Daphnia pulex: one gene and its partner. The protein of the gene in region 2 interacts with the protein of the main gene of each other region in a biochemical or structural test. Links are inferred from orthologs where the notes say so. Each region holds a gene or a part of one and is shown on either strand. Other genes may lie near its edges. The genes, in order: uncharacterized protein F21D5.5-like and DNA repair protein XRCC1-like.

Region 1 (16,221 bases), on a different chromosome or scaffold from region 2:
GGCTCTCTCTCTCACGCTGACTAACTCGCGTCTGTCTTCTTTCTTTCTCCCCCTCCCGTGTAATCAACTGTTGGCGCTGCTAATGAACGGCGCGCGACAGTTGCAGTGAAATCGCGCTTCCGGTCTCGACACCCCCACCTCCGTCTCTTCCCCATTATTATTACAATTTCAAGAAGAACCAAATTCAACAATGTCAATCCGCCGCTTTTCTCTTGTATAGGAAGAGGCTAATGGATTGCGATTGCGGAGGACCTCCTCCTCCTTCAACATCCCAGGAGCCTAGACGACGAAGAAGAAAAAAGAAAAGACTGGAGGGAGGGCAATAAAGAAAGGAAGCGTCGTGGTGCCGACATTTCCTTTTAACCGAGGCTAGGAGAGAACACGGACGGCGCTCGCTATATCGTCGGCTCTGGGGGTTTTTATACATGTAATTTGTCGCTGTATATCAAAGGCTTGTTTTCACCCGCGTTGGCAGCCGAGGAGCGACACGAAGAGGCCAGACGACAATGAAGCGCGCACCAAGGAGGAGTCAAAGAAGAAGAAGCAGAAGAATAAAAATGAGAAACCGCAATAACGCGTGAAGGAATAACAAATTTAGAGTCAAGAGAAAGATGGAATCAAACCACGCCAGGCCGCCAGGCCACCACCACCACGACTCCTACGTATACGCGTAGACGTATGTTACAAGAAGAAAACATACTACCGACCAGAGGAGGAACGCCTTATGGATCCTTGTAACGAACACGCCCCCCATTCAAAATTACGAATCGGAGCCCGACTGATTTATCATGTGACATTTGGTGGAAGGGGGGGGGGATGAAAAACTCGAGCGAGAAATAACACACACACGCACATTATACATAGACATACTGTGGGCGAGATATTATTCCGGCACGACGGTCATAGATAACGAATTCGAATCAATCCAACCGAAGGCGAGCGCGCGGTTTTGATTAGCGTCAGCCGGCAGGAAATTATGATTATTATTTCTCCTTTCGCTTGTTGTTGTTGTTGCTTTTTTGTTTATTTATTTTTTCTTCTGTCTGTTCGAACATGTTTGATGTATATAATGTAGACGCACAACCGCAAACTCATCTCTCTCTCTCTCGGCTGTTTCTCTTTTTATTCTTCTTCTTCTGTTGTTTTTTTTCGCTCACGCATCACGCGCAGTCGTTCATAAAGCACACGAAAGCCGCAAATCTCTCACGCTGCCTCGCGCGCTCAAACCAAGTCGACATTTTACCGACGACGACGTCGGGGTGGCACTTTTTTTTTCTTCTCTTTCGTGAACATCAAATTCGGCCGATTTTTTGGGGAGGTTTTTCTTTTGTTTTTTGTTTTTTTCAATCATATATCTGTCGTCCTCGGAGTACAACTTTCTACTGGCGAGAGAATAAGAATCCGGCGAGCGACTTTGACGGATATTTATCGACACCCTCCTCCCACTCACCTTCTGCGTCATTTCGTGTTTTCCCTTCATAATCAACCAACAAGTTTTATATATCTGAAGAGAGGAATAAAAATAGTATATAGGGAAATGAGAAAATACATTTCAAGTCCGAAAAAGAAAAAGAAAGAAAAAAAAGGCAAAACTTGAAAATAGAATAGGTTGATTAACATTTGATCCTCACACAAGTCTTGTTACGTTTTATGGCAGCAATTTTCTTCCATTTAATAACGCTTGATGGAAGGCGTTTATTTACGGGCTCGTCGGCCTTGGTGCCCGGCGACAGCCAGCAGAGAGAGAGAGAGAGAAACAAGTAAAAAACGAATGAGAAAGATGGAAGTTATATAACACAAAAAGGAGCTATAGACGGCGAGAGAGAGAGAGAAATTCGTGCATGTTGTATATATCTAGCGCTAGCGTAGATATGTAGTATTGAATTCAATCTTCGTGGCGATAATAATTCACCTGCGCTGTACACATCCTTCGGTGTCTACAAAGTTTGGCCTTAATTTAACCAACCGCGGCCGTTCTTCTTCTCCGAAAAGGCGATGTATAGCACAGCACTCGCCTATCCCTCCTCCCCCTTTTGGCCTTTCTCTCTCTTACACACAGGACGTAGACAGCCAGAAAATGCAAAGACAGGCGCATTATCCTCTTCTCTGCTTCTATAATTAACCGGCATTCATCATTTGGAGTTGTTCGGGAGAGAGAAAAAAAAAAATAAAAAGCTATCATAGACGCACGGCACACGGCAGAAGAACCCCCCTCCTCACGGATGGCGGCCTGCCCCCTCCCGAAAAATTTGTGTACAGGCCCTCTCGTCCGCTTTTCTTTCTTAAAAAAACACATTTCAAACTGGCGCCTTTTTTTTCTTACCTTTTATTAGTTCAAAAAAGAGAACACATCCCGACTTCATTTCGACCGAGAGAAAAAGAAAAATCCCGGACCCGACACATCCCTCCTCGCTGGCCGCCCCCCTTTTAATTCTTTCTCCTTCGCCCAACTGTTCCACACACACAGCCTCATATTAGATATACGACTGTTGAGCTAGCTAGCTGCCAGAGGCCTTTTCTTAATCATCATCATCACCTGGTCCGTCCGCTCTCTGCTGTGTGTAGACACACACACATATACTACCCGGCCCTTGTATTTATACATATTACCTTTCGGTTTTCCACAATCATCTTGAGCACGGCGCTGCTGCCTCTCCGCTTTGGCCCAGGATCGCTAATCAGACCAATGGAGAGACAGCGGTCGTCACGCTGTGAATTATTGTACGGATCCACCTCTCTGTCTGTTCTGTTCTGTTCTGTTCTGCGCTGTAGGGAGACTTTGTCTAGCGCACAATTTCCAACCGCTAATCAGGTTTTCTTCCTTTTTATTTGTCTTCATCTCTCGCTGCTGGCCTGGCCCGCGTTCGGCTTCTCAATGTGTTAAAGGGGGGACTACCGTAAAAGGCGAAAAGGAATCAAAAAGAAGTTTGTTTTTTTTTCTTTCAAAACAGCGCCACGTCATCACGCGACTAGACGCAATCGACCACGAGAAATAACGACGAGCTGTTGGGACGGTCGGGAAGAAAAACGACAAAGACAAAGCAACTGGACGGTGTTGGAATATAATAACGCCACCACCTCCCTTATTCATATTTGGAATGAGCCCACCGCTTTATCAGTTGTGCGGATGTGTTCTATCTAATGATGCGCTCAATTGTCCATCAAACCAACTTGACAAATCTTTTGCGCCGTAAATGTGGATTGATTTCTTTCTCTTTGTCGTCGTTTGTTGTTGTTGCGGTCGAGCTGGAAATCACCGAATGCTGACAGTTTATTCGCACCTTTTCTTCGACTCGCACCGCAGCCATCAACCGGTCAGTCGCTTCTCCTTTTTGTTTAGTTTGGGCTGCTTCTTTGCTGCTGCTGCTGCTGTTGTTTCGCTTCTGTTGATGATGAGCTGCTGCTTCTGCTCCCGCTGTTGCCCGAAAAGTAAAAAAAAAGCTTCTCCTCCAAAGAGTCGTAAATAAATCAAGGAGCATTCAAAGTACGGCCTGCGCGCTTCATTTATAACTGTTTTTTCCCTTGTTCTTTTTATGTTCTTTTTCTTTCTTCCCTCCTTGTTTTTTTTCTTTTTTTATTATTATTCTCCGATGTATTTATATATTATTTATTGTTTTCCTCTTTTATTTTCTAGGAGGATTTCTTATTTCTTTTTTTTTTCCTATATGCATATAGATATGCGCGTGATGGTACGTATGTATATAGTATAGGCTATTTGCTATTTGAAAAGAAATAATCATCCAAGTCAAGAAATTGCGGTTGGACGAATAAATGCCGGGGCTTTTAGCCTCTGGGATGATTGTCGGGACAGGCCAAAAAAAGAGTCTTCCATCCTCTCTCCTTATTCTCGCCCGAATTTGCATTTCGACGTATTTCATCTATAAATATCTATACGTACACACAAGACACACACACACGTCTTTTTACGACTGCCGGATAGAAACGCGGAGGCTCCTCATTGAACTCGCCACAGAAAACTTCTTCTCTCAAAACAAATTTCTCTTTCCTTGTGTCTATCGGCTGGAAATATCTGGCGCGATGACGCCCGACGAAAATTTCACTTGATGTATTTTGATGGAAAGACGAAATGAAGGGAGACTGCTGGCCAGAGAGAAATAAAGAAAAAAAAAGAGAATTAGGGATATCCAATAATAAACAAAAATGGAAAAAAAGAGATAGAGCTAAGAATTGGTTGGGGCATATATAAATGCCATACAGGCAGCAGCCGAGCATTGACTATTAGAAATAAAGGCAGCTAGGAGCCAGCAGGAGCGGCTGTGAATGGTGGTGGTGGTGGTATATACACCAGTGGTGTTGGTGGGGCGCTATCAGAACGATAAACGCCCGATAAATCGACGGAATAGCAGCTGATGCTTTCGAGGATCATTGGGCATCGCACGGGGCCACATGACATCTACCGGCTCCCATCCATAAGTCATTGGATTTTTAATCAACTTGGTCGGGCCGGAGTTGGAGCTGGAGAGTGAGAGAGGGGAGAAAAACAAAAATATCATCATAATAAAGAATATTCGGGAGAAGAAACTGAGGGGGGAAAGATGAAGAGATGGGGGATGAAGAAGAAGGAAGAAAGGAGAGTTCACCACTGGAGAGAGAAAACTGTTGTGTGTGTTTCTCAATCTCATTCTGTATGGTGTATATACGACTCAGCCTCTCCGCCGTTGGTTCGTTAGCCAAACGACGACCAAATGAGCAGGGCCAAACTCAATTAACACCTTCCGTGTCAGACCGCTATGACTGTGTCTGTGTCTGCGTGAGCCGCCCTATCTAATATGAGATTCGTCCCAACAGTTCGATGGGTCTGTCTCAGAGTGTCTAATGGACGTGCATCTCGCACAGAGAGAGTGTAGTACATGCTGGCGGCGGCGGCGGTGGCGGCGGCGGCGGAGAGCTTTCCATCTCCAAACTTTATAGAGCTGATTCTCAAATGCTCGATGCAGCATATCCTCTACACTTCTTTTCTGTCTCGTCCAATTAAGAACAACATCTCCAACAATATGCGCCATCGTCTCTAAATCTTCTTCATCGCCATCTTCTACAAATGTTTTTTTGTTTTGTTTTTTAATTCATCAAATTCTTTTTTTCGTTTTTTGTTAGCTTTTTGTTCTTCTCTGATGCCATTTGGTTTGTTTTTTTTTACAACCCGAACGACGATGGATACAGGGCAGGGTTTATATTTTGAGTCGAATTATTTTCGTTTTTTCATTTTTATTTCCCGACGTTTAATCGAGACAGGAGGAAAAGAATGGCAGGAGGAAAGTTGGAACATTTTTTGTGTTCGGATGAGAGCGATATTGGGCGCAGGTGTTTTGCCTATTTTTGTTTTATTGGTCGATAGTTTAGTGGGGCGCGGTCAATTCATCAACGTGCCTCAAGGTGCGGGAAACCTTCTCCCCCCCCCCTCTCCTTCCACCTCCATCAATATTATGAAAACGCAACGGCTATAAAAATGGAGGCAGAGATGATGTGACGTGCACGTTCGCTGCTGCTGCTGCTGCCCTGCCAGCGGTCGATGTCGGCCGTCTCACCATTATACAGCCCGCCGAGAAAACGGGAAAAAAAAGAGAGAGAAAGAAGAAGAGGAGAGAAACAGTCGTAAAGCAGTCTTCCAACGGCTCGTCCGACCAGGCCCATCACATTCATAATAATGTGGCACACACAGCATTTATATATATAGAAAAAAGGAAATGAAGGGAAAGAAAAAGAAGTAGAAAAAAGATAAGAGCGCCAACCAGCCAAAGACTCGTGCATGTGTCTGTGTTGCGTGTAGTATGTTGGGAGAAGAGTATAGTAGGGGGATCTTTTCGGGGCTGTGTGGGTCGAGAAGGGGGGGGACTGACTCAAAGAGCTGATGTTCCCATTATGTTTTGAGTTATTGCTGGATTGCCCGATACGAAAATTTGTTCGATACCAACACCCACCGCCACCGCCAAGTCTGCGGTCGGATGAGTAACATTCTCCACCCGACTGCTGCATGGTTTTGGCCTAGGGCTCGTCGCATTCGATCGTTTCATCGCCATCAATCCATACATACATTTGGGTTCTCCTGTTCTCTCTTTTTTTATTTTGCGATACAAAAAACCCAAAAAATAGAATATGCGCGCTTGTATTAACGACTCTTTTCTTTTTTCTCACTGTTTTATTTGGTTTCTTGTGATACTTGTGGTTAGGAAATTATTTACATTACAATGATCGCGGGAAATTTTTACGTTCACTCCCGTCAATTTAGGTTTCGAAAACGGTCGGGTCGCGCGCCGGCTTTTTCTTGAAAATCGACTACCCAACGCCATCTGTCAGTCGGAAAGGAACTACTTAACTGCCACCTGACGGATATAATATCAATTTCTTCAATGGTTAGCACATTTTCGTCTTTTCTTCCAATTTTAAAACGTCAACTAATTTCCATTTTGTTCATTCATTATCGGTTTTCATTAAAAGATTTCCTACAAGTGCTAATGTTTTCTTGTAAAATAGTGTCATGCGATCCGGATTACGTATCCATCCAGATTGAGCACTGTAAGCCTTTGGTGATTGGAAGAGGGCCCTTGACAAGGATTAAAGATCCGAGACTTTCTCGAAATCACGGTACTATTGCAATCCAAAACAAGTTCAAAACAAGATGCATTTCATTCAATTTTCAATTCACAGTCAAGCTGGTAGCAGACTGTGAAAAGGGGTTGCTGAGTGTTAAGCTGATTGGAGCCAATGCTTGCAAAGCTGGAACCTCAATACTAAAAGCTAAAGATGAATCTGTTCAGCTTAAACATGGAGAAATTATAGAGTTACTTGAAAAGCAATTTCCATTTCGTGTGGAATTTAGTCCAGATCCAAATCAAGTCCCGTCATCAGTAACAAGCTCATCAAGTTCTGAAGAAATAATGGTGGGGAAGCAGACAACTCTTAATAATTTTATAACAACAAAGAGGAAATCAACATCTGCTGAAGAAGATGTCCAAGACCCCAGTTTCTTGGCAAAAAAGCAGAAAATGGAAGATACATGGGAGGAGATTGACAATGGCAAACTGATTATATTCACAAGTGATGGAGTGCAGCACAAATCAAAAGTATTCAAATATATTTTAAGTCTTTCGAACTGTTTAATTATTTCTTTTTATTCATTTAGATTGCAGCCTTTGATTTGGATGGAACCATCATCACAACTCAATCTGGGAAAGTATTTCCAACAAATTGCCAAGACTGGAAGCTAAATTTCAGTCAGGTTCCTGGCAAACTTAAAAAATTAATAGAAGATGGATTTAAAATTGTTTTCATCACTAACCAAGCCGGATTAAGTAACGGAAAGCTCAAACCGTTAGATTTTCGAAAGAAACTCTGTGATATCCGTTCAAAGTTGGGAGTTCCAATCCAAGTTTTTATCTCATCCGGTTCGGGAAAATACAGGAAACCCTCTACCGGAATGTGGATATACCTTACAGATAAAGTGAAAACATATTTACTATCAGATGTATCTTAATATTTGGATCTGTAATATTTTCTGTTATTTGTAGGCAAACGGTTCCGTCCCAATTGAGCTGGAATCGTCTTTTTATTGCGGTGATGCAGCTGGGCGCGAGGCCAAATGGGCGCCAGGGAAGAAAAAGGATCATTCGTCTGTCGACCGTCTTTTAGCCATCAACGTCGGTTTGAAATTTTACACGCCCGAAGAATTTTTCTTGGGACACCGATCGGTTCCGCATAAACAACCAGATTTTGAACCCCGTAATGTGGACGCATCAGTTCCTCTTTTGGAACCTTCGGACGCCCCCCTGTTCCAGAAAAAGCAAGAAGTAAGGTATTCAATATAGAGTCAATAATGAAACAAATTCCCGTTGAAAAACATCATTTTTAAGAAATCACCTTTAATTTAGGGTGAGGGAAAGTTAATTACAAATCTCAACATAAACCTTGCCATTAACTTTCTTGAATCTCGAAGTGTAAGAATTTCGTCAATATTTACTGTTTGACATTAGGGACTAAATGATTTCGCCGACTATTTAAAAGTTCTAGCTAAGAAATTGATTAATCTTGTGTGTCATCTTGACGTTCGTGCTACACTGCTACACGTGCATATTTGTAAGTTTTCTTTGGCAGCGATTTGGGACGCGCAATTTATTTTTCCATTTACTATTTTTGCGTCACCTCTTAAGTATTCGATGAATGTGTTCTCGGGAACCGAACCGGGAGGTTCTAGTTCTTCATATTATTTTTATTGGTTTACTATTTTTTTCATTATCTTTTTTTTTTTTTTCTCAAGGATTTCTTTCTATTCAATTCTATTGAGTCTGAAATTGGTAAAGAGATGCAACGAAAGTCAATCATTTTTGGTTATAAGTGTAACTGATTCTTTAGTCCCGTTTTTCCCACGTTATCTTCACATGTTAGCAAAAAAGTTATTCGCAGTTGGACTGATTCTTATTTTTCGTTAGGTCATTCTACTGGTTGGGTTTCCGGGATCTGGCAAAAGTCATTTCGCAGAACAACACGCGCTTCAGTCAAGTTATGATGTTATCAACCGTGACTCCTTAGGCACTTGGCAGAAATGTGCAGCAGCCGTAGAAAAATGTCTCGACGCCGGTAAGAGTGTATTGATCGATAATACCAACCCGGATAAGGAATCACGTTCCCGTTTCGTTCGACTGGCTTCAACTAGAGGGCTACCTTGCCGCTGTTTTGTGATGAACACCACCATGACGCATGCCTTACATAACAACAAGGTAATTGAAAAATTTTGAATCAATCTTCTTCTTTCTCAGCCTTTCATTGATAACGTTAGTGTGCATGTACACAAATTGAGATCCTTATAGATAGCTTTATTGACTTTGCCTGTTCAAATTGCGACGTAAAATGCAAAGTCTTGAGAAATCTTAAAATCATCAGGAACTGTTTGCCATCTAAAACCTTGACTTAGTTAAATTTATCAATGAAAATCCTCTTACGTGACATTCGACACGCCCGATATTCAAAGAATTTTTTTCTCGCAGTTTCGAGAACTAACTGATGCGAAGCACGTCCCTGTTTCTCGAATGATCTTCAACGTACACAAGTAATTTTTAAAAATCTAAATATTCCAAACTGAGATAGCTCTATTGTTTGCTTTGACTCCGTTCAAGATCAAAGTACCAGGAACCAAGTTTAGACGAAGGATTCAGTCAAATTGTCCGTGTCAACTTCCAACCCAAGTTCCGTTCTGCCGAAGATGAGCGTCTTTACAAAATGTATCTTCTTGAAGATTAAGGATGTTTCTAGTAAATGGATTTTCATTAATGTCGGTATTACTATATATATATATATTTTCATTTCTCTGGAATTTTAATATCCTATAGTGCATGCCTAATCAATTCATGCAAAAAATGACTCGGCGTTTTGCTGCTCTCATTTCAGAGCAAAGAATTTGTTTAGTATAGGCCATTGAGAACTCTCCAAGTACGGTGTCAAATTGATTTTTTTAAGGATAACGCGAACGTGACGAACTCGCGCACAGTATTTCTGACGGCATGTAGATTTGTTCTGTCACTCGTAACTCAAAAGAATGTGCTCACGTGAACACCGCATGTTAAAAATGTTTTCAAGGTCAGTCGAAAACCGCTCGGAATTTATAAATTCAAAGGGATAAAATTGTTCAAGTGTCCTAAAAAGATTGTCCTTCCAGCGCGGATATGTCCGTCGATGTGAGTAATGATGTGCTAATATTACCGAATGTTTTGGCAATATTTTTACATTTTGCTGATACCACATGACTCGACGCTTTTATTCTGGTCGTCTGGCCATTAACATGTCCTAATCGTATGACGTACTTGGAGGCGGGTAATGTTTAGACGAGCCCTAACGATCGAGCCCAGGACAACGAGGGCTAGAAGGCCGGCGCCACTACAACCAGCCAATCACGCATCAGTCCGCGTCACCTGTCCTCCAGCCCGTCGCAACGTTTCCCATTGGGTTATTTTTTATTTACAACAAAATTTGGCCCTGCATCCACTTCATTGTGAGGCTAAGCGTTGTTTACTAAAAATATCCCCTAGTCCTTCATTTTTCAATACTGTGAACCCCAGTCAACACAAGCTCGCAACTTATCCAAGATTGCAATATTTATTTCCTGAAACGGCGCCAGGTGATCGGCCGCCACGACAGCAGAGCGGATGCGCCATCCTCAGACGCATTTAGGTTGAACTGTACTCAGCAGATGTCTCTAGCCAGAAAGCGGTAAAGGCAGACGCTATTTACGGCGCATGACAGTTCATTCTTCCCCGTTTTTTTGAGGTGCCACGAGCTCTCAGAATTAACTAAAGATCCCTTTTAAGGGAGTTTTGGCAGGCTATCGGATCCATGAAAGAATGTAGGCGGCAGAGTCGCCAAGGGCAATACAGCACACGAGCTACAACCACAGTCTACGTTACTACATTCGGTCGTAAACGTATACACTTCATACTCTTTTTTTCTTTTTTGAAAAGAAAGACTTATCTCGTTAAGGGAGGAGCCTGACGGTCCCGCCTTCACGATCCCCCTGTCTCCACATGTTCTCCCCTCTCGTACGAGTCTCCACCGGCTTCTAACACAGACACACTTGCCCGGTTTTTGGTGTGTTGCTGTTGCACTGTTTCCACTTTAAAACTGTAAAGACATTCGAAAGTTTCAACCAGTGATCCTTCTCTACTCGTGAAAGCAATACATCACAATCAAAATACTCGTGGATAAACCTCGAAAACAAAGGTAAGATAAGACTTTGGTTTACCCTTCCATTTCCTTTCTTCTAAGATGTGCATTTGCGATAGCATTATGTCTGTGGAAGACTTATGCAATGAAATGTATCGATTTTGCTCGACGACTGATGTTGATTCGATCTGCCCCGTTTTGCGGGAAAACTTATTTGAAATTAAATGCAGTCACGTTTACTTAAATAGGAGTCGGCAGGTTACTCTGCAGGTTACTCTTTCAACCTTCTCTTATTTCTAGAATATTCATTTCACACGGGCAATTATTTGTACATGGTTGAATGGGTTCATTTTCGAATCAGCTTCCGAAAATTGTTCTTTAAGCAAATATTGCAATGCCATGTTTTTAGTTTTTCTAATTTATTTTTTAAGTTTCCAGTTATTATTGTATTTTCATTTGATCCTAAGGGAAAACCTCTTTTAATTAATTGGGCAAATATCTGAGTTGAATTTCAATCAGTTAGTCTTCGATTTCCATGCATTTCAAGGAGAAAATTCAAAACTTTTATTTCAACATTCCCTTAATTCTATCCATATGTGACATTGTGTCTAAAAACCTTTTCCTGATTGCAACCGCCCTTTTACCGAGAGGTATCTGCGGGTAATTCCCTCCCTCGAGCGAAAGCTTCACTTGAAGGTCTTGTGTTAATCAAAGTGATGACCATCATATTTTCTGCACAGTTGCGGTGCGAATTAAGCCTTCGCTTTGCTCGACTAATGACGCTAATTCTTATCCTCCCATAATTGCTATCGATGGTTTATTAGAAAACACAATGCATTCTAACGATTTGTTCACCTAGCAACAGGACCATGCGCACCAAATCCATTCGCTGCCCATTAACGGGTTCAAGACGATCGCGCCAAGCAGTTGCGGATACTCGATCTGTCGATATCGAAACGTCAGTCAAGACCATAACCAAAGACGTTGTCGTCGTCGGTAATTTATTTCCAAACGTTTACTGATGTTCTAGCACAATGTGAATTCGTTGAATAAAAGCTGAGATAACCCTTTTCTAGGTAACGGACCTTCAGCTATTACTCTGTCTTATCTCTTGTCCGGCCATTGGCCCTATTATAAGGGCATGGACGAGATGGGGCATCCACCAGACTTTCTTCACTACAGATTGGAATCGAAACCCAACTGCCCGTTGGTTCTTCAAGATCTGAAAGAATTATCAGAAGTAAGAGATGAAGATTATTATTATTATTATTTTGTTTTTGGTTATGTAGTTCTCTGGTAACATTTCTATTTGGAACGCTAGGGACTGGAAGGGCGGTCGAGCAATCCGGTTGCTCTTTTATACGACATTCTGAATCACCCAGATGCAGACACAGGTCAAGATCTACCATCACTTCTTGCATGGAAGAACCATCCCGAGCATGCTCTCGATCACGTGGTTCTTGGCAGAGGTCCCCCGGGGGGATCGTGGCAGGTGCGTTTATCAATTTATCTCACTCCTTCCCTTTCTTAGATTGTAAAATAGCTTAGCAACACGTACGTTTAGATTTGAACCTTCAATTTTTTTCTCAATCTGAAAAATATTTCATCCATCTTGGACTTTAATGGTGCGTAGTTACCGTACGCCGATACGACAATAATCAAAATTATTATTATGTAATGGGCCTTGTTTGTTGTTTACACTTAAAAAATTGTTTACATGGAAACACATATGAGCGTTGGAGGAAATGCAATACTGTTTCGACCTTAGCCTTGATTCTGGTACAAGGACAAACCCTATAATTACTGTAGAAACTCATTTCTCTCGATTTCCTCTCGACTCTAGAAAAGAGAAACTATGGTATTGCCACAGGCATTATTGCATCAAGGCCGATCTTTTTTTAAAAAAACGTGTATGGCCGTTTTTTCATTGTATTTTTCCCCTATTTTTTTGTATAGGCAATGGAGGGAGACGTTTTGACTATCAGCAGAGGAACGTGGATGGAACTGGCTAACTTGAGCTTTCGAGAATGGGAAGAAAGTGTTTGCGATCGGCAACTTGGGAGTCGTCAGAAACGAGCCTCGGTTAAGAACGTGGCTCGATATTATCACGATTACGTTGATATCAAAGGATTGCGCCCCTACTTCCGCGACTCAGCGGAAGTCACTTCGGTTCGTCGTGTAGATCAATTAAAAAATGGCTCAAACGAGAACAATGATCGTGGACTTTGGCAAGTGACGGGTCACATCCGGACAGCTGAAGGACTGGAAGATTTTCAATATTTGACTCCAAACGTGGTATGTTCTGTTATAATCTACTTTATAATTATAAGTACGAGAGTGAAAATATCTGGCTATTGAATTAGCCAATTTCACTATTAGTTTTAGGAATGTTGATAATGATTTTCTATTTGAAATAATAGGTCTTAGCCATTGGTGGTTCTGATCGCCCTAATCGTATGAACGTGGCCGGTGAAAATCTGCCCTTTGTCGTCAAATCCTTACAAGCGATGGAACAACTTATTTCCAGTCAGCAATTGAACAGTCGGAGTGAACCGGTTCTCATTGTTGGGGCTGGCTTGTCTGCAGCGGATGCTATAATTGCCGCACACTTTCATGGAATTCCCATCATTCACGCGTTTCGACGCAAGGCTACCGATCCTAGCCTTATCTTTGGCCAGCTTCCTTCCAACATGTACCCTGAGTACCACAAGGTAATTTTTCTCAATTTCTGATTGAGTTGACATCATTTCATTTTTGATTTGTTTAATTATCAGGTCTATCAGATGATGAAAGACAACGGAATGACTTACTCAGGATACACTCCGATGGAGCAGAGCCAAGTGGTGCGTATTCAAAATGATGGAAAAGTCTGTCTGCAAGGACCAGAGTGCTCCACTCGAATCAAAGTTTCTTACGTCGTGGTATTAATAGGCTCTCGACCTAGTTTAAGTTTCCTTGAAAATAAAGGACGTGATTTAACGGTCGACGTGACCAAACCTATCTCATGTCGTAATAACCCGCTTGATGTCGATCTATTCACGCTCGAATCCACCAAGCAACCTGGGTTGTACGCTATGGGGCCCTTGGTCTCAGATAATTTTGTCCGTTTCGCCCAAGGAGGCGCCTTAGCTATCACGAGAGATATTCATTTGAAATCCTGTCCATTGGAGAGGAAAGAAGAAGTGTCAAATCCGCCCATCCTTCATGTCCCTCAAGAATCCGTCAACTACCTTGATTGCCCGGCGTGACGTTGATCGCCATTTAGTTTTACCGGGGGTATTAAAAGCGTTCCTAATATTGAACTTTTGCGAATCAAAGGCGCTTTTAGTCCCCTCATTTGTATCAGCGGTTATTGATACAATCTATTGTAAATATCACGAAACACGGTTTTCATCTTTGAGAAATAAGTCCGAATCACCACCCTATTACACCTCCACTTCAACGAGTGCTCTGCTAGTCTTCGTTGTGCCTTCTCCTCTCTCTAAACTTCGTTTTCTACTACTCTCATTTTTTAAGAAGCTTTCGTTGAGAAATTTGAATATCTATTGTTGATTTTCTTTATGAATTTACTGCTGATAAGTAGAGCTTATGTCTTAAATGGCATCGTTACGGTGCTATACGTTACGCGTGTCCTTACTGAAAACATTTCCAAAAGGAATTTGATTGTTTCCAGGACTATAGCTTTAGGGGTGCGAAACAAGAGCGGTTTTAACGTTCTGTAATTTGTTTTTGCATGTCAATACTAAGGACGACCAATGTGTTTTTGGCCCTAGTTGGTGACGAGAGGGGTAGCTAATATTGCGACTGTAATTGAAAATGTACACTTCATATTAAAGTTACAACACCTTAGAAAATTCAAGTGTTTTGAACTTGTAAAACATATACTATGCAGCATTTAAACACGTACATTTCCAGCAGTTCAATACACACATGGAAAACTTGAACAGAAATTAGATTTTCTATTTACTCAAGATTTAACAGCAATTAAAATAATGATTAGAAGGATGATGGTGGAAACCAAACCGACAATGCATACCATCTTCCGATTTTTCTTTTGATAATTATCAGCTTTTTGCAGATGAACCAAACCGTCGTGAACTTTAGCTTGTGTATGCTCAATATTGTAGTCTATTCTATCCAAAACGGTACCTTGATCCGCGACCATGTGAGAGATTTCCTGCAGATTTAAGAAAATGAACAAAAATAAGTTACACCATAATGAAATAATGTTGCAATGCTTCAAAGTGTCAAAGAAATTACTTTAAATATCGAATTCAGTTCGTATATCGAACGGACCACATTTTGAATTTCCTTCTCGCGCTGTTCAACGAAAGACGAATTTTCTTCCTGCAACATCAATTGCTGCTGGCTCATCACTCGCGGAGTTTCGGTTTGGCTGCTAGTATTGGTCCAGTCATCATAATTCCAATCCTTGGAGGAAGTTCCACCAAAAAATTGTTGAGAACGTTCCTCGCGTGATTTAATTTCTGTTGGGCAGTGGGCAAATAAGTATATACATGAATTTACATTTTTGTTACGAATTGGTTAATTGATTTTTAAACTATTATCTAGGTGCAACAAAATACAAATCAGAGATTTGAAACTACATTCTTGTGTGATAAAGAAATGAAGATGACTGATGAGTAATGATTACTTATCACTTAGAATAAGTAATATTGACATGATAAAAGTGCTGTGACTGGCTTTGACTGTGACTGGAATGTGCTATACTTTGTAAAAGAAATAAATGAATAAGAACTGAACTGTTCAGATATGCATTCTGGTCACTCCTGAAGGTGTTTGATAGATTTTGTAATGTTGTTACCAAAGATGTGACCACATTTTTGGCAAGATTTGCTTCTGCCTGCCCCAGACTAGGACTAGTACTATTGTACTGAATCCTTTTTATGCAATTGTGGCAGGTGGTAAACATCTTCAGAATAAACAAAGAAGGATTGAAGTTTTAAACAATTTAATTAATTCTAATCTGTAATACTTTGGTTATGTCTTGAGTAAAGGCATCAATCTGCTGCTCTTCATTCATCGAGTCATCAAATGTGGGCTTAAGAAGATGTTTGTTTTGAAGAGAGCTCAACTCTTTTAGTCGAGTTTGAATTTTTGTCAAGGTGTACTGAGCCTCTTCTAAGCTGTCTGTCCATTCTGGAGGAATCCTTACATGAGTGGCATGACTCTTGCCGTGAACATCTATTTCATGACGGACCAAGGAATCCGTGTCTGATATGCTCTAAAAGCAAACCATTACCAATTACCAGTAATTTCAAAAGTCAAAATGAGTCACTCACTTGTTCAGAGTAAAAATTGCGACTTTGAATAGCATTGTTACGCATCAGAATGAAAATTTCAGTGATACTTCGTGTTGCCATTTTCTATGTGAACTTTCAGTCGATATTGGGGTTGAATCATCGATATTAAGATGTACGTGATCTAAATTTTCACAAGAAAAATCTAAATCGTACACATCACAATTGAAAACATTGATTTGGATAATAGATATTGCACTGAAACTTTATTTTTTAAATGCCAGATTTTGAT
Region 2 (16,143 bases):
CAGCTTGCTGGACGGGAGCGTTGTAGAACTGGGTGGCGGCGGCAGCAACGGGCGCAGGAGCGGCAGCAGGAGCTGACCAAGTCTGCTGAGGAGCAGCAGCAGGAGCCGAGTAGGTCTGCTGAGGAGCGGCCTGTTGCAGAGGAACATCAGCGAGTGGAGCGGCGGCGGCAGGTGCGGGAGCGGCCGACTGTTGAGCGGCAGCAGCAGGGACGGCAACGCAAGTGCAAATTTGTTGAGTGGTAGCTGGGAAAGAAGACTGGGCAGGAGCGGGAGCGGGAGCAAGAGGAGCATCCTGGACGGCGGGAGCGCTGAAAGTGGGTTGAACTGATGCCGATGGTGCTGAGCCCCAAACTTTGTTACCGTAGCCCCCTCCGTTTTGCAATGGAAGAGGAGCAGCAGCTGCTGGTTGGCTTCCCCACGCTGATCTATTCACATTTCACGAACACAATTTTGTATAAGTATAGACTTAAATATTGAATATTGTTTTATTAAAGAATTAAACGTACTGTTGGGTCCTGTATGATGAAGCTGAGCAGCTAGCTGCCATCACGACGCACAAGGCAAGGATCTTTAAGTATAAAATTAAATATTTTAATACATTAATTCGGATTGCAGTTGAACAAAATCAAACTAAAAGTAAACAATTCAAAAATTTGAATCAAATAATAAATACTTACAGTTTTGAATGAATTCATTTTAAGTTGAAAGGTGAGGGTTTGAGTAGACTGAACTTGAGACTGCTGGAGTTGCTGGAGATGAAGTGAGTATCGAACTTGAAATTGCAGATGGTTTTTATACTCGGAAGATGTGCCTAAACGACCTTGGAAATGCATTTCCACGCTGCTGTGTAGACAGGAACCAGCCGAAAGAAAAAAAAAAGGTGAGAGGAAATTGACCTATTTTGAAAAGGTGAGAGAAAATGAACTTTCACAAACGTAGGCTTTGTATACAGTTACCATGGGCACTCATTTCGTTATCGTAATAAACCCAACACTATGCTGTACCCTCTCCCCTTATGTTTACCCCCTATAAGAAAATCAGGCTGTACCTGCCCATCGATACAAAAGGAAAACAGCAGACGGCCGAGAGATGTAGCGTCCGATTAACATGTTGAAAGGCTGCGTTATACAAAAAAACTTTGTTAAATGGAAAATGTTAGTTTAACCAAGAGTTTAACCTTAATTCAACTTGAAAAAAAATATGTTTTCCCCTTTAGGCCTACTCCTTTGCCGGTAGAATCACTCTCATATGCATCAAATGTCTCAAATGTTTTATTTTCTTCAAATTAAAACAGCGCTGATTATTTATTGTTATTACGGTTTATTTCGGGATTAATTTGGTAGCGGAAAAGGCCTCTGAATAAATGTAATTTTTTAAATTGATTGCTTGACGCTAAAAGTTGCGTTTGTACTATATATCTGCCAATTTCAGCCCTGTATAATTTCATGTAGTCATCTCCTATTGGCCAGACCTCATATAATACCTTTTCAATCGCTAGTACTTTAGATTTTTTAAAAATGAGTTTGGTAGCTACGACAACTTTAGGCTACTCTACAGACTTTACCCTAGACACAGTTAATATTTTTCGCTGATAGATTTTTCATTTAAATTTCACTACCGTTATCGCAGCGTATCGCAGCATTATGTTTTCCACTTTAATTTTTTAAAATGGTGATACTATACTTCCATCATTTTTGAATTTATTACTGATTTTGTTTTCATCTGTCTATAGTTATGCGTACATTTAAAAACAGAACGTAGCTACGAAATTTCCATTATAAACCGTCAGTCTTTTTTCGAAGTATTTGTCGACAGTATAGAACCTGCGTGAAAGAGCTGGCATTGATTCAAAAATTCAAGATACGATATTTTTTCAAACGCGTTTAAAGTTTATTGAAGTCTAGAGGCAGTCTGAAAATATTTTAGTACCCAGTGACCTTGTTGCTCATGGCATAGGCGGGCTTAACAAATTGGTCAGAAGCACTGGGGCCTTGTTCAATAGGGGCAGCAGTGGTCAAATAAGAGCCAGCACTTTGAGCAGGAGCCTGTTGCTGCTGGGAGAAGGATTGCTGGGCAGCAGGAGCTGACTGTTGTTCAACTGCGGAGGATGAAGTGCTGGAAGGTTGCTGGTATTTTTCGATCATACCAGCGGCAGTAGACTCGGAGACGGCTGTGCAAGTGCAGAGGTGTTGAGAAATGGTAGGGAAGGCGCTGGCAGGGAAATTGATGTGAGTTGGAGCCGATGGAGCAGCAGGAGCAACAGGAGAACCGATGCTGGAAGCAGACGCATCTTCCGGGCCAGTTGTGTTGGGAACCAAGGGACTGCTTGCCGGTTGGTTCATCCAACTATTTGGCTTACCAGATCTACAAAATTAGACAACGAATGTAAGGATCAGTATACACGAATGCAAATATTTTTATTCAAATTTACAGCCAGCACAAATGAATTTGGATTTTGGATTTGTAGAACATAAAAATGACTTACTGGGTATATTGGCCTGAACATACCGCTGCCATAACAGAGCACACGACAATCATCTGTATACAGAATTTCATAATAACAATTAATGTGCACCCGTATAAAAAGAAAAATAATGCACGAAATAAATGTTGGCTTTAAAAATGTACTTACTACTTTAAAGGTATTCATTTTCTTTGTATGGATGTAAAAAGGAGAGTAGCGGAAATTGGACGTTGTTCCTGATTGAACGCTATTGGCAGCTTGATGCCAAAATGGAAACTACCTCGACCTTATATACTGTTGACGTAGGCTGGTTACCAAGCCAAGTTTCTTGATCCTGACGACCTTCAACTCAAATTTTGTTGTCGTGTTCCAGACACGTATAGGAGAAAGCCTGTGTGCGAATCGGAAAATAGGTCAAGTAAATCATATGAAAATATCAGATTATTGCTGCTTCTATCAAAACAGATTTCACGGGATTTAAAATTGTCAACAGAATTCAGATAAATAAGGAAGCCGTCAGCGGAAAAATTGAGCTAAATGATGCTTCTGTAATAGTATAAGTATTGGTCCTGTTGTGCATTTCCGTTTAATGCAATTCCAAATATACAATTTAAACTTAATTCCTCAGCCTTGAAATATTCTAGGTCTATAGGGTTTATACTTTCACTTTTTTAAACGTCTAGAAACAAGGTCAGACATGTGAAAAGAATTTCAATGTATACCTGAGAATCAAAAAAAAAGGTAGGTCAGGTCGCCCTAAAACTTTATACCTGGTTCCAAAGAAGAAAATATAATAAGAGTTTCGAAGGTGCCAGAAGGGCCACTGTGAGAGGAATCCCCAGCACATCCGGTTTAATGTCAAGTACCGCAATATAACTCGCATATTCTATCATTATGCTGTATATTGATAAAAAAATATTTTCTGTGACATTAAATGTATTGAATAACTCTATTATAATGAATTGTAATGAATAGGCCTACAACTTAAAAAAATATATTTGATTGAAATGATTGAAAATTGATTTCTTAACATAGAGTTCATGGAATCTTTTACATTAGGCCTATATGAACTATGAAGGAAACTTATTTTCACCTAATGGGGGGTAAACTATTTAGGTGAAGCGTGATTTCTAAAAATAAATTTCGCCCAACGTGGGGCTCGAACCCACGACCCTGAGATTAAGAGTCTCATGCTCTACCGACTGAGCTAGCCAGGCTTACCTCAGCCGGCATTACATTTTAATAATATGTAATGAGTGAATTTAGAGCGTCACGCACTTTCTTCTGATTGTCTAGTTGATGATTTAGTTAGGGTTTCACTGGTAAGATAGACCTAGAGGAGTAATTTTTCAACATTTGCTTATTTTCCCTGTTTATTTTATTGGTTATTAACGCTTCATAGGATGATGAACTATGTATTGGTAACTTTTTATGTTTCCCTCCTGTGATTAGACATCATATAGACCGTTACGAACATGTTATAGTTCGGTAGGCAACATTAATGTTGCCACAGATTTGTTCCATCAGGCATCAACGAAAAAAGTACGTGATTTCAAGACGAGGTATAACGTTTCATAACACTTTATTTCCAAAAATGCATATCATATTATCTTATTATGGTTCAAGTCTTCCATTCCATTTCCTTGGCAATTTTATTAATCAAGATGACCTGTAATGTAAAAGAGTACAGTATCATGTTTCATGGTTCATGGCGGGCGTTTTAAAGGATTGAAGTTCCTATATTTACCACAAGAGGGTGTACATGTTTAGTAAACAAAAGACAGGTGCCTGTCACGAAACCTCTGTGTTAAATGTTTAAAAAATAGTGTTCAATGCTGCTCATTCCTTTATGGGTTATTTTTTGACTTTGCGAACTAAAAGTTTCAGAGGTGACTAAGAGCAAGAATTTGCGCAGTATTTAACAATTTCGTTCGTGTTGTTTGAAGTTCTTTCGACTTACTGCTGTAAAAAGTACTATAGCCTACACCTGAATCACCTGAATCACTCAGTTTTGCATGATGAACATAAAAGAAATGCATTTTTTAATTAAAATATCCATTCTGTCCAATGTTTTGTTAACCACTGCTTTACAGATTGATACCACCCACATTTATTATGATGTCCAACCACAACAAATTCATTTATCTTTCTCAGGTATAGACATGATTATGAACATTTTGTGCTATGTGCCTATGTACAATTTTTTCAAATAATCACTGAAATTTGAATTAGATGAACCTGTTGATCTCATTGTTACATGGAACACCATCAACAGTACAAATGAAACAAGTGTTGTGGAATATGGAATTGTTGAGAATCGTTTAACAGAAACAGCCACAGGGAGTGCAACTGAGTTTATCAATGGAGGGCTGGCAAAGCGGAAACAATTTGTACACAGAGTGAAGCTCTCAGGGTTGTCGCCTAAACAAAAATACTGTAATCTTCGGATTTTCCATATCTCTTAGGTTAAGCAGTTTTCAAATGTTTTTCTTTCATTAGTTTATCGATGTGGGAGTCGTCTGGGGTGGTCCAATTTGTTCAGTTTCGTTACGGTGGAAAATTCAACCGACTGGTCCCCAAGACTTGCTGTGTACGGCGATATGGGCTCGGAAAATCCTCAGTCACTTTCGCGCCTGCAAAAAGAGTCGCAAGAAGGGCGCTACGATGCTATATTCCACGTTGGCGATTTCGGATACGATTTGTATGAAGAAGACGGACAACTCGGCGACCGATTTATGCGTCAAATCGAACCGATTGCCGCGTACGTTCCTTACATGACCTCGGTCGGAAATCACGAAGAGAAGTACAACTTCAGCCATTACAAAGCGCGATTCTCTATGCCGGGAAGCGAAAATGGATTAATGTACAGTTTTAACCTTGGACCAGCGCATATTATTTCCATCTCGACCGAATTTTACTATTTCATCAACTACGGTTTTAAGCAGATCGTTTTACAGTACGATTGGCTGATTCGCGATCTAGAAGAGGCCAACGCTCCTGAAAATCTTAGCGTCCGACCGTGGATAATAGTAATGGGCCATCGTCCAATGTATTGCTCAAATACAGATCAAGACGACTGTACAAAGAAAGATACTCTTACTCGGGTCGGGCTCCCTTTGTTTCACTGGTAATCGAATGCGTGCTATCATGTCAAATAATAATTCTAAATAATGTAGTGTTTTTATAGGTTCGCTTTGGAGCCGCTCCTCTACAAGTATGGAGTTGACCTGGCCTTGTGGGCTCACGAGCACTCGTACGAACGACTTTGGCCCATATTCAACCGTACGGTAATGAATGGAAGCTTGGAGCATCCCTATACTAACCCTAAAGCTCCAGTTCACGTGACAACTGGATCAGCGGTAGGAGAGATATGCTGGAAAATATTTAACTTTGCACACCGCATTTATCAAAAATATTAAAATTTCAGGGTTGTCGAGAAGAACGGGATGACTTTATTCCAGAATTACCCTATTGGTCGGCCTTTCGCAGCAACGACTACGGTTATTCCCGATTATTTCTCGCAAACAAAACTCATTTACATTTGGAACAAGTGTCCGATGATCAAAACGGTCTGGTGATTGACGATTTTTGGTTAATCAAAGATCTCGTATAGTTTAACTCCTCATTAGCATAAACGAAGACATCGTTCTGTTTTAAAATACCTTTATTATTCATTTCGTTTGTTGCACCAAGAATTCATCGAGAGCAACTAATTTGTTATTTTTTCTGCATGTCCGTATCCAATCACTTTTGACAATTTTCATGTCTTGGTTTTTCGACAGCGCCTTAAAAATAATGAATAATCCAAGACCCGACTTTAGTAATCTTTTATGAACAGAATAAATAAACTGCATTTACCTTGGCGACTGAATCATCGTCAGGATCGTCGGATATAAAGTGAGAAACCTTTGATTTAATTTTCGGCACTAATTTACTGTTTGAGAAAAATACGTTATTTGTCAAAAAGGAACATAAGAAATTTAATTAATGGTAGTACCCTTGACATTCTTTTATATAGAGCGTTAGGTCCTCTTTCACTTCTTCGGACAAATCTTTGCCCAGATAAAAGTTCAAATTAGCGTAAATGTTTGAATCTTCCAAAGTCTGCTGTTGTTCTTTAATTTTCTTCTTGATCCTATTTCAAACAATTATGTGCGTTAGCCATTATAAATTCGAAAAGAGTGTGTGAGATGAGCCTACATATCGATTTCATCTTCCGTGTCGACTTCGTCAACTTCAGTCGACCCGCCGTAGTCTTCTTCTTCTTCGTCCTTGACGACACTAGTTTTAGGACTCGCCACCACAGTGGTAGGCTTACAACTGGCTGCTACAGTTGGCGATTGGGGTACTACAGTTGCTGCTTTACTGGTTTGGGGTGTAGGGGTCGGACATGTCGGCCCCTGGTCCTCTCCTTCCCAAATTTCTTCTTCGCTTTCTTCTCCTCTGTCATTTTTATCTAAACAATAACTATTTAAAAAGACAAATTATTACAATCCAAGCGATAGAAAAATAAACCACATTGGTAATGATTTTTACCGTCTCCATGGTAATCTTTTTCGTTTGTCGAAACAATCTTGAACCCAATTTTTGGTAACTATTTTGCCTTTACCCTTAACTTCAATGAACTTTGGTGTGTTGTAAAAGGCACATCTATAATCAAATGAATAAAGAATAATAAGCGCATGACTCTACGTCAAAAATTTGTTTTGTAAAATATACATCAAATGCGTACAAGACGCGTTCCATTCCGGTTTATAGGTGGCACCTAAGGCCAGCAGTTTATCTCGCAGTTGACCCCGTAAAGGATTTTGAAAACCACTAAGGACCACCACGACGCCTTCCAATAGGCGATTAAAAGGTTTGGTCGTCCGTTGCTTTTTCGCTAAGCGCTGCGTCTATAGATCGGCATTCAAAAGATGTGATAGTACGACTCATAATTTGAAAGGTTGAATTATAAATGTTTATACGTCAACTGATGGAGAAGGTGGTGGTGTTTTCCTTTTAACTGGTCCTTCAACTCTCTTCGATTCATGAAGGGGGGAATGTCTTGGTTTGCTTTCTTGCATTTTTTTACTCAACGATTTTTTAGCTGGTGGAGTGATGGGCGGCGCAACTGGTCTCGGCCGATCAGATTCCACTTGCTTGCGACTAGGTAATGGCGAATGTTGATCGACTTTGGCAGCAGTAGGTGTTTTAGATACTGTGGGACTTCGAGTCTGCAACGTTTTAAGCTTATCTGTCAATTTGATATCTGGTCTGCTGCCGTCCTTGTTAGGGGAGTGTCTCAAAATGGTCAAGGCCTCTTTCTCACTCTGTGCTAGGGCAGCAGAGGCAAGACTTTGAGATGCAGCACGGATTGCACCAGGCTCTATTTAAATAAAAAAAATCATTATCATGGTATGAAAACAAATTAGACAGCAATAATTACGAGTGCTGGGCGAGGTGCTGATCGACGACTTGAACCGAGAGAACAAACTGCCTTGTTTGATGGGGTCAACAATTGATTCTTCGGACCTAAGTTTAAACATGCCAAGATCTATGCTGTTTGCTGCTTTCACGCTAGCACTAAGGTGATTAAGATTCATTTAATAGGATACATTATTGGTATGACATGTGGCAATATTTGTGGCTTACTTATTGTTGGTTTTATTAGCTGACTCTTCTTCTGGAGCATGAACTGTAAGGAAGGAAATTCCATACTGAAGCTGTTTGTTGAACGGTTGAGTGCAAACAACCCGAACGCGATCCCATTTTTCAGCTTGGGTGGCCTTGTTCAAATCTTGGTGTTTGAAAATCCGTACACGCTGGAGATTTGTTTCGTTTCGACACTCTTGAGGTGTCATAAAAGAGGCTGAATTCAAAAGAACCTAATACATGTGTACAACTTTTACATTAAATAATACAATTATTTTAAAGTGTAATGTCTACCTTGTAGTCTTCATCGGAACAACCACTTCTACCAACTAAAATTTCAATGAATGCAGAACCATGGTTTCCTATGTCAACAGCTGAAATGAAGGATGTTTTCTCTAACTGAAATTCAACCCACGCTTTCTGCTCTCCAGCAGATTTGCACCTCCATTTCCTGTACACTCCATCTTTAATGAGGTTTTCTGTTGGCTGATTCTGTAAAAAAAAAATCTTTATCATTTTCCATAGTGCACAGAGTTGTGCAAATTGTAAGAATCGTTGTGACTATTTTATCTTCTTCTAGTGAAAGTCTTCATCGTTGAAATTAAATAGATTTCTATACTGCCAGTCACAACTATGGAATACTAAGTTCACCAAAATAGCAGTAGAAGTGTCAAGAGTAATTTGTGAAAATCACCCTGGTTCGATAAACCAAACGTCAAAACAACTATCACTTGCGACTTTATACAATGAAAATCACAATTTTGTTAACATACCGGATCTTCGCTACTGAAACTCACAACACGAGTAAATTTTATGGGCGCCATAGACAAAACAACGACGCTGAACAAATGTTAAGAAAATCAAAACTGGAATACAAATTTCAACGACTTTTTAACTTGGCACGTGTATCGTCGGAAGTTGATTTGTCCAATGTTTGCAGCTGCACTATACGTTTTATTCTCTGGCGGCTTTGGGGCTAGAAGACGGCCTGAATAATTTGGAAGATTTCTTATTCTGAGTCGTCGCACCCTGAGCGATTCAGATTTTATTAGAATAATAATTTATTCCCCCATTTTAAAAGTTGTGATCATTCAATTTTCCCTACATTTTATTTTTATTATATATGGAAAGTCGGCTGCTCCTGGGTCCTGTTTAAAAAACCCGCCAACAGAGCGCGTTGGCTTGCAAACGGACATTGTAAAATGCATTCAGCGCGCGTATTCAATATGCATTGAACACAACACCAGATTCAGAATCCAAACAAAAATCGCTGGGTTTTTTTTCTACGCTGGTCTTTTTTAAAAAGGTTAACAGCGTCCTATAGTGGATAATGGCCTATTTTAGGTTATCCTTTTATTTATTATTACTGATGCCTGATGACAAGTCGAAAATAAACCGACAATAACTCATCGACATCAGCAGAGATCAATCTTTTACGACAACAGAAATGAATAAAAATAAGTCTGCAAATAAAATCTACACATTAAACGTTTAAGTCAATTTCAATTCCAACTGGAAATATATACGTTCTGGCGGTTCAATGTTTAAACTACCAAATTGATTAATGTCCACTAAATTTATTATTTTCTTTTCTCTTAACCATTCATGATGCTGGAGAGAAGGGGGAGGGATGTCATCGATTTTAGCTCATTTAATTTCTATTACGGCTTAGCTGGCGCATTAATTTATCAACGTGGTACTCCGACAACGAAGTTTATATTACAAGGACAACGTCAACAGCCAGAGTGCAAAGCATTTTGTGCAAGTGATATTTTTAATTTGTTTTTTTTTCTAATTCGACCGTTTCTCGCTCCTTGGATACCGAAAGAAAAGCCGAGGAGAAGAAAACCATATTACGTCTCGCCTTTATTAATAGGTGATTCCCCAGAAAAAACAAAAAAAATAAAACAGCCACAGCATCGCCCAGTATCAACTGGAACATTTTCCGGCGTTAGTAGTATTGACACCTCCACGCTCTTTTCCTCCCTTCTTTATATTGTATTTACAAGGCCCACGCAGCAGCAAGCAACCCAGCTCTTTCCAAGGATGAACATGGCTACATTATATATATAGTATAGGCTTTTAATTTCTCCTATATATGTCTTATTTCGCTATACAGCCAAAGAATCGAGGTTGCGCACAGAGAATATTAAGGAATGTATTTTTTAGATTTCCCTTCCGAAAAAACTTTTCTTTTAACTCTCCTCGATCCTGCTGACTACATGTATAAATACACAGGCTATATTATATAAACTGCACTCACTGCAGGCATATACACACACATTTCATGTACAATATATATGTATTAGGCTTCCGGCAGCTTTGTATACCTATGTACGAGCCACTTCAATTTCTTATAGTCTCTTTCTATTTCATTCTCCATTCTATTTTGTTTCCTCTTGTATTATTCCTAAGATTCCCCCCCCCCAAAATACAACAAAGACACAATCAGCAGCACCTACCGTCTATATAGGCTATATGCATGGTGTATAGTCTAAAACTTTGTTCATCGTTGCTTGGTGTCGATAAATATCCCGGCAATCTATCTAATATTCTATGTGGGGCTTCGTTGTCATACAAAGTAAAATGATGAAGAGATCTCTAGATATTATGCTCACGCGTCTATAATATATATCCCATCTCTCTTTTTCCAACCCATTGAGACTCTGTGTGTGTCTAGAGTTTTCCTTGTCCCAGCATGAATATAGACAGTATATATAGACCATGAATAGGGCGCTTTAATGAGCTTCTGCTACAAGCACTGTCAACTATACTTCTCTTACCAGAAATGCACCGCGCCTTTATGTCGGTGATAATATACAGTCTCAAAAGTATTGTTTTGGTACTATACGTTCAAAGTATCATCAGACGACACACTATACAAGATACTTGTTTATTATACGTCTGCAGGGGGGAAAATACGTCGAGGCTTTGCTCGAACGAAACTTATTGGTAGACGAATCTGAACTTTCCCAGCAGCACAGAGGCGCTTTCTTGCACTCAGCAAAGATCTATATAAGAAAGTGGCATGATATAACATGAACTTATACAAGCACCGTATGTATATATATGTAAATACGGCTATATAGCTATATAACTGAATGTTCGTATACTAGATTGGAAAAGTTTGGTTTTTTTTATTTAGGTTTGGCAAAAGTGCCATTTTATATACTTTCAAATCGCTCGAGGCCGCACAGCATGCATGTGCGCCGCGGTGCTCAACAAATCATTTCATTCCCTTTATATTATATTTCTATATAATTATATGTTCGTGGCATTTTATTTACGTCGTGCTATACATAATTATCTAATCTTCTTTACTATTAAAAAGAGACTGTCGTGTGTAGGCTATAATTAATTGTCCCATTTCACGCAACACATAGCAGGTTCATGTGTGGCTGTATAACACTCGTTTTAATATGCGCGTGGTGCGCAACACTTATAGCGAACGCGAATAAACTTTCGGGGTAAAACACAGGATGTAATGTTGTGTTAATATCAAATCGGTCCACGGCCCGTGATGTAACATTTTCTAGAATAAAGTTGTGCTGCGCTGATGGGCGCATCATATACATAATTCACGCAGCAAGATAGAAAAGTTAACGCTTTGGAGAATCCCTTACGGAAAAATCTCATCAAACTATATGAGAAATCATATGTTTATTAATGACATCAATGATTTTTTAATAATTTTTGATGATCTCATATATTTCTCATTAAATTGATGAGAATTTTCACCCTCATATTTATCATTAAAAGTGTTTAAAATATTTTTGTCTCATTTTATATGAGATATAACCCAGAAATCAGAAAGAAATCATATAAATTTCATGATTTTACCACAGACTTTTCGCATGAGAAATATGCAAGAAACTGGTGATAAATAACCATAAATATCATGATATTTTCTTAAAATAAATCAGTAATATATCATGTATTCTCAGTTTTTAATCATTAATTTCAATTGGTATTTTGTAATGAGATACTTGTATAAAATCATGTGGAAATCAATAAAATGTCATGATTTTCCCGCAGTTTTTTCGCATAAAAGATCTGCAAAAAATCAGTGATTATTAAGCAGGAATATCATGATATTTTCTTAAAATCAGTAAGTAATTTGTCATAAATTCTGAGTTTTTAATCATTAATTTCTATTGGTATTTTGTAATGAGATACTTGTATAAATTCATGTGAAAATCAATAAAATCTCATGATTTTTCCACAGTTTTTTCGCATGAAAAATCTGCAAAAAAACAGTGATTATTAAGCGGGAATATCATGATATATTCTTATAATAAATCAATATTTTATCATATTCTGAGTTATCAATCATTAATTTCTATTGATGTTTTGTGTTGAGATACTTGTATAAAATCATGTGAAAATCAATTTTACCTATGACATTATAAGATTTTTTTGGTTTTCTTTTATACAGTTTTTTGGCTTTTAAAAAAATCACGAAATTTATTATTAAATGTCTATCAGAAATCAAGTAGATTTAGGTGTGAGATCATGATATTTAATTATAATTATTTTGCATATTATCATTTATTAAGAGCTTTTTATCAATCATTTCTCTAATGCTTTATAGTGAGATTTTTCATTAAATCATGTGAAAATCAGTTCCCAGTAAGGAATCAAAAGATTTTTTTGGTATTATTTTTACCCAATTTTGGGCTTTAAAATCTTCAAATTCATAACAAAAAGACAGTAATAATCAGCTACAATTCAACAGATCAGATGTGAAATTATAACTATTTAATCGTCAATATTTTCTTATGTTTTGTAATGATGTGTGAAAAATCAAGGGAAAATTTCTACATATATGACATCAAAATATTTTCTTGTATTCTTTTAATACAATCCTTAAAATATCAGTTAAAATCAGCAAATAATTATATAGGCCTACCTGGAATGAAATATTCTGACTTTAAATTCTTTTTGAACTTTTACATTTTTTATTTTATACCTTTCGTAAATATATGGTAGCTATCTAATTCTCACAAAAATTACACGATGTTTTTATAATCACAAGATAGGCTGGGATAACTATTTTTTTTAACGCGCTAAGTAAATTTGAGTGAAAGTTCTATTTTACTCTGGTGTGTTTTTTTGTGTGTGAATTATTCTAAGTCCCGAAATCTGGCTTTTATCTAACTAAACTAACCAATTGATTATATGGTATGTCAAAACGCATCATAGAAATTTTTACTAAGTTTTTTCACGCGCTAAGTAAATTTGAGTGCAATTTCTATTTGACTCTAGTATGTGTTTTTTATGTAAATTATTCTAAGTCCCATAACCCTGTTGTTATATCACTAAACTAACCAATTTATTAATTTCTACGTTAAAAAGCTTCTATCATAATATCAATTGGTAGTGTAGTGGTTAGCAGATTGGCAAGCCACCCTGGAAGTCGAGGTTCGATTCCTGGTCAGGGCAATTCTTTTTTCAATTTATATAATTAAAATCTCATTTAAAAGCGCTCAAATTCTCATTCAAATTTTAGTGAGAAAATCATTAACATTTTTGTGGAAAAAGAGAAATTAAGCGAGATTACAGTAAACCCTCAGTCAGAAATCATTATGTTTACGCGACTAATCATTTATATTTAGATGAGAAATAACATAATTCTCCCTTTGTTCACATGAAATTAATGATTAACGGCTGATTTTAAACTTGAAAATGTCCCAAATTCTCATCAAAAGTCATCAAATAAATGATATTTTGCTGTTAATCTCACCAAAATATCACGACAAAATGAATGAGAATTAAGGTTATTCTCATGTATTTCTTTATGAGTTTTAATGAGATTTTTCCGTAAGGGATATAATAATATAAGGTCTTTTACACGCTGCTGCTGCTGCTGTATATATCTAGAGTATTTATCTGCTGTATATAGTGCTGTGGGTGGGGGCTTAAGTCCTTTGATGGGGTCGGTTATATCTACGTAGATGTGTGTAAGCCGGGCGAGAGAAAAAAAAACAAACAAAAACGGGCACAGCCACATTTCATTAGACACAAACCTCTCCCCCCTTGCATTCGCGTTTTGTTTCAGCCCTTTTTCCCAGCACTATTATATACGCTCTCGTCGGTACACCTCGTCCCTTTGCGTGGTACATAACACACGAGTACTATTACTATAGCGCTTACTACAGCAGCGTCAGCTCTATACAGCATATAATATAGATAGGCCGCGTGACAAACGCCGGCACTTGAGGCTTTTTTTTTTTACTCCAGACCACACCCACACACCTTTTGGATAGGATAGGACAACCCGCAGCAGCAGCGGTGTATGTAGCCCACCCACAACGTTCGACAATTGTTGCTTTGATTCATCGTTCATCATCATCGCGCCAGCAGCACACACAACACACCGGCAGCAGCCAATAATAGCTAATTGAAAAGACTCGGATGGCTGAATCAGATATAGATTTTCTATAGTCCGCCAGCAGCAGATTATATATACTCACGTAGTAGGCCTACATCAGTCGATTTTCTGTAATCATTTATACTATATAGGTATACTGAAATCGATGATCCGCCATTTGAAAAATGATAGTATTACATACATACATATTAGCGAATAACCGGCCTATTATATACGAGCTTCAAAAAGTATCAAATATTTTGATGATTGGGGGCTGATCCTTTAAATATACAAATGCATCTAACAGCCAGCAGCCCTATATATATTATTCGGGCTAAATAGCAGCGAACAACGTGATGCTTTAATATCGTTTATTGAAAGTTGCCCACAACCGAGTTGAATCCAGCATCATCCAGATGAATCCTGTTATATACATGGACTATATATACACAACGATATACAAGTCAAACACAAGACATATTAAGTATAACTCAGGTAACAGTGTTATATCGATGTAAAGAGCACTTATTTTATATATTTTTTTAAAAAATAAAATGATGATATGTACACAGAGCAGCACACCGTTGCATAGTTGTGTCGCTGATGGACTGATGTGAGCAGCGCTCCCTTGTGTACAATATGTCTCTCTCTCTTTCTCTAGTAGTTGTTATAGTCGCGCGATGATGCATCTCGAAAACATTCTGGCTATGTGCTGCTGTGTGCGCGATGGTGATGTGTGTTGCGCATGTGTGTCGTCCTTTTCCACAGCGCCAGCACAGCGCAGCCAAAAGGTATATGTGTATAACTATACTGTGCACGGTATCAAAGACTATAGACGCACTGCACTACGGAGCATCCGCCCAGCCCATCAGCCCAGCGCCCAGCAGTGCCCAAAGGAAACAGCGCAGCACGGACGCCCCCAGCAGCAGCAGAAAAAAACGGACTGGGTTGGCGATGGCACAAGATAAAGGACTCAGTGTCGGTCGTGTCCCAAGTGCAGTCGGTTTACACCGTCTCTGATTATATACCGCGCGCTATTTCTCTATTATATTCGTTCGTCATCAGCACAGAGTGTCGATATAGTCGTGTCAAAATTTATTTTTATTTTTTCATTTTAAAATTTATTTTTTGGTCGATTAGTTTTGATTATTTTTGCATTCGAAATTGAACCCAAATCGAATTTTCGGGTGAAAAAGGAAGAGAGAGTGTTCATTTTCAACCTGTGGGGAAAGAGAAAGAAAAGTGGTGTGCTGGAAATTCGGTTCGAAATATGGATGTGTGCTGCTGTGTGCGCTGTGTGTGATGTGTGCTGTGTGTGTGCGATGTATTAGGTTTGATAACCGACAATCTTTGCATAGAGTTTGAGCGCTGCTGGGGGCCACGCAGCAGGACAGGACAGGATCAATCGCTTCTATACATTTGATGCTGGCGCTCCCGAGAAATATAATATTAGATGATGCTGCTGAGATGAGTTCGATCGCTCGCCAGTTGCTGCTGGCTCCAGCTCCGTTTAACGGCGACGAGATCGCACGAGATTTCAGTCGACAACTCGTCGCATCAGCAGCAACAACAACCACCGATGACTTGAAAGACGCGCCGAGTGCTCCTGCAGCCGTTTAATAGGCGACCAATCAAAATTTCCGACAAATTTCATCACAAAAATCGTTTCAATTTA

The links.
Region 1: the proteins of DNA repair protein XRCC1-like (region 2) and uncharacterized protein F21D5.5-like form a complex in vitro, tested with the Homo sapiens proteins (3 studies listed by BioGRID and IntAct, with this or other methods). The link is inferred for Daphnia pulex from reciprocal best matches to the Homo sapiens genes XRCC1 and PNKP.

The regions. Positions count from the first base shown.
Region 1 is NC_060020.1:4,605,518-4,621,738, reverse strand, and holds uncharacterized protein F21D5.5-like, read left to right. Parts: upstream 1-6,357; 5' UTR 6,358-6,368; coding exon 6,369-6,603; intron 6,604-6,666; coding exon 6,667-7,082; intron 7,083-7,141; coding exon 7,142-7,459; intron 7,460-7,526; coding exon 7,527-7,805; intron 7,806-8,444; coding exon 8,445-8,732; intron 8,733-8,999; coding exon 9,000-9,061; intron 9,062-9,128; coding exon 9,129-9,252; 3' UTR 9,253-9,282; downstream 9,283-16,221. Other genes in the region: oxidative stress-induced growth inhibitor 1-like, read left to right, coding at 11,538-11,664, 11,745-11,908, 11,990-12,160, 12,625-12,963, 13,089-13,379, 13,443-13,916; syntaxin-16-like, read right to left, coding at 14,636-14,845, 14,929-15,155, 15,433-15,601, 15,665-15,913, 15,972-16,052. UniProt on the Homo sapiens protein: Plays a key role in the repair of DNA damage, functioning as part of both the non-homologous end-joining (NHEJ) and base excision repair (BER) pathways.
Region 2 is NC_060028.1:2,109,279-2,125,421, reverse strand, and holds DNA repair protein XRCC1-like, read right to left. Parts: upstream 9,043-16,143; 5' UTR 8,923-9,042; coding exon 8,872-8,922; intron 8,591-8,871; coding exon 8,393-8,590; intron 8,332-8,392; coding exon 8,099-8,331; intron 8,030-8,098; coding exon 7,893-8,029; intron 7,833-7,892; coding exon 7,432-7,832; intron 7,360-7,431; coding exon 7,184-7,359; intron 7,115-7,183; coding exon 7,001-7,114; intron 6,932-7,000; coding exon 6,665-6,931; intron 6,600-6,664; coding exon 6,462-6,599; intron 6,399-6,461; coding exon 6,323-6,398; exon of another isoform or gene 6,250-6,322; coding exon 6,136-6,249; 3' UTR 6,111-6,135; downstream 1-6,110. Other genes in the region: nematocyst expressed protein 3-like, read right to left, coding at 1-425, 507-568, 678-695; uncharacterized protein LOC124209391, read right to left, coding at 1,923-2,364, 2,486-2,538, 2,633-2,650; acid phosphatase type 7-like, read left to right, coding at 4,480-4,618, 4,697-4,900, 4,964-5,591, 5,652-5,823, 5,892-6,077. UniProt on the Homo sapiens protein: Scaffold protein involved in DNA single-strand break repair by mediating the assembly of DNA break repair protein complexes. Negatively regulates ADP-ribosyltransferase activity of PARP1 during base-excision repair in order to prevent excessive PARP1 activity.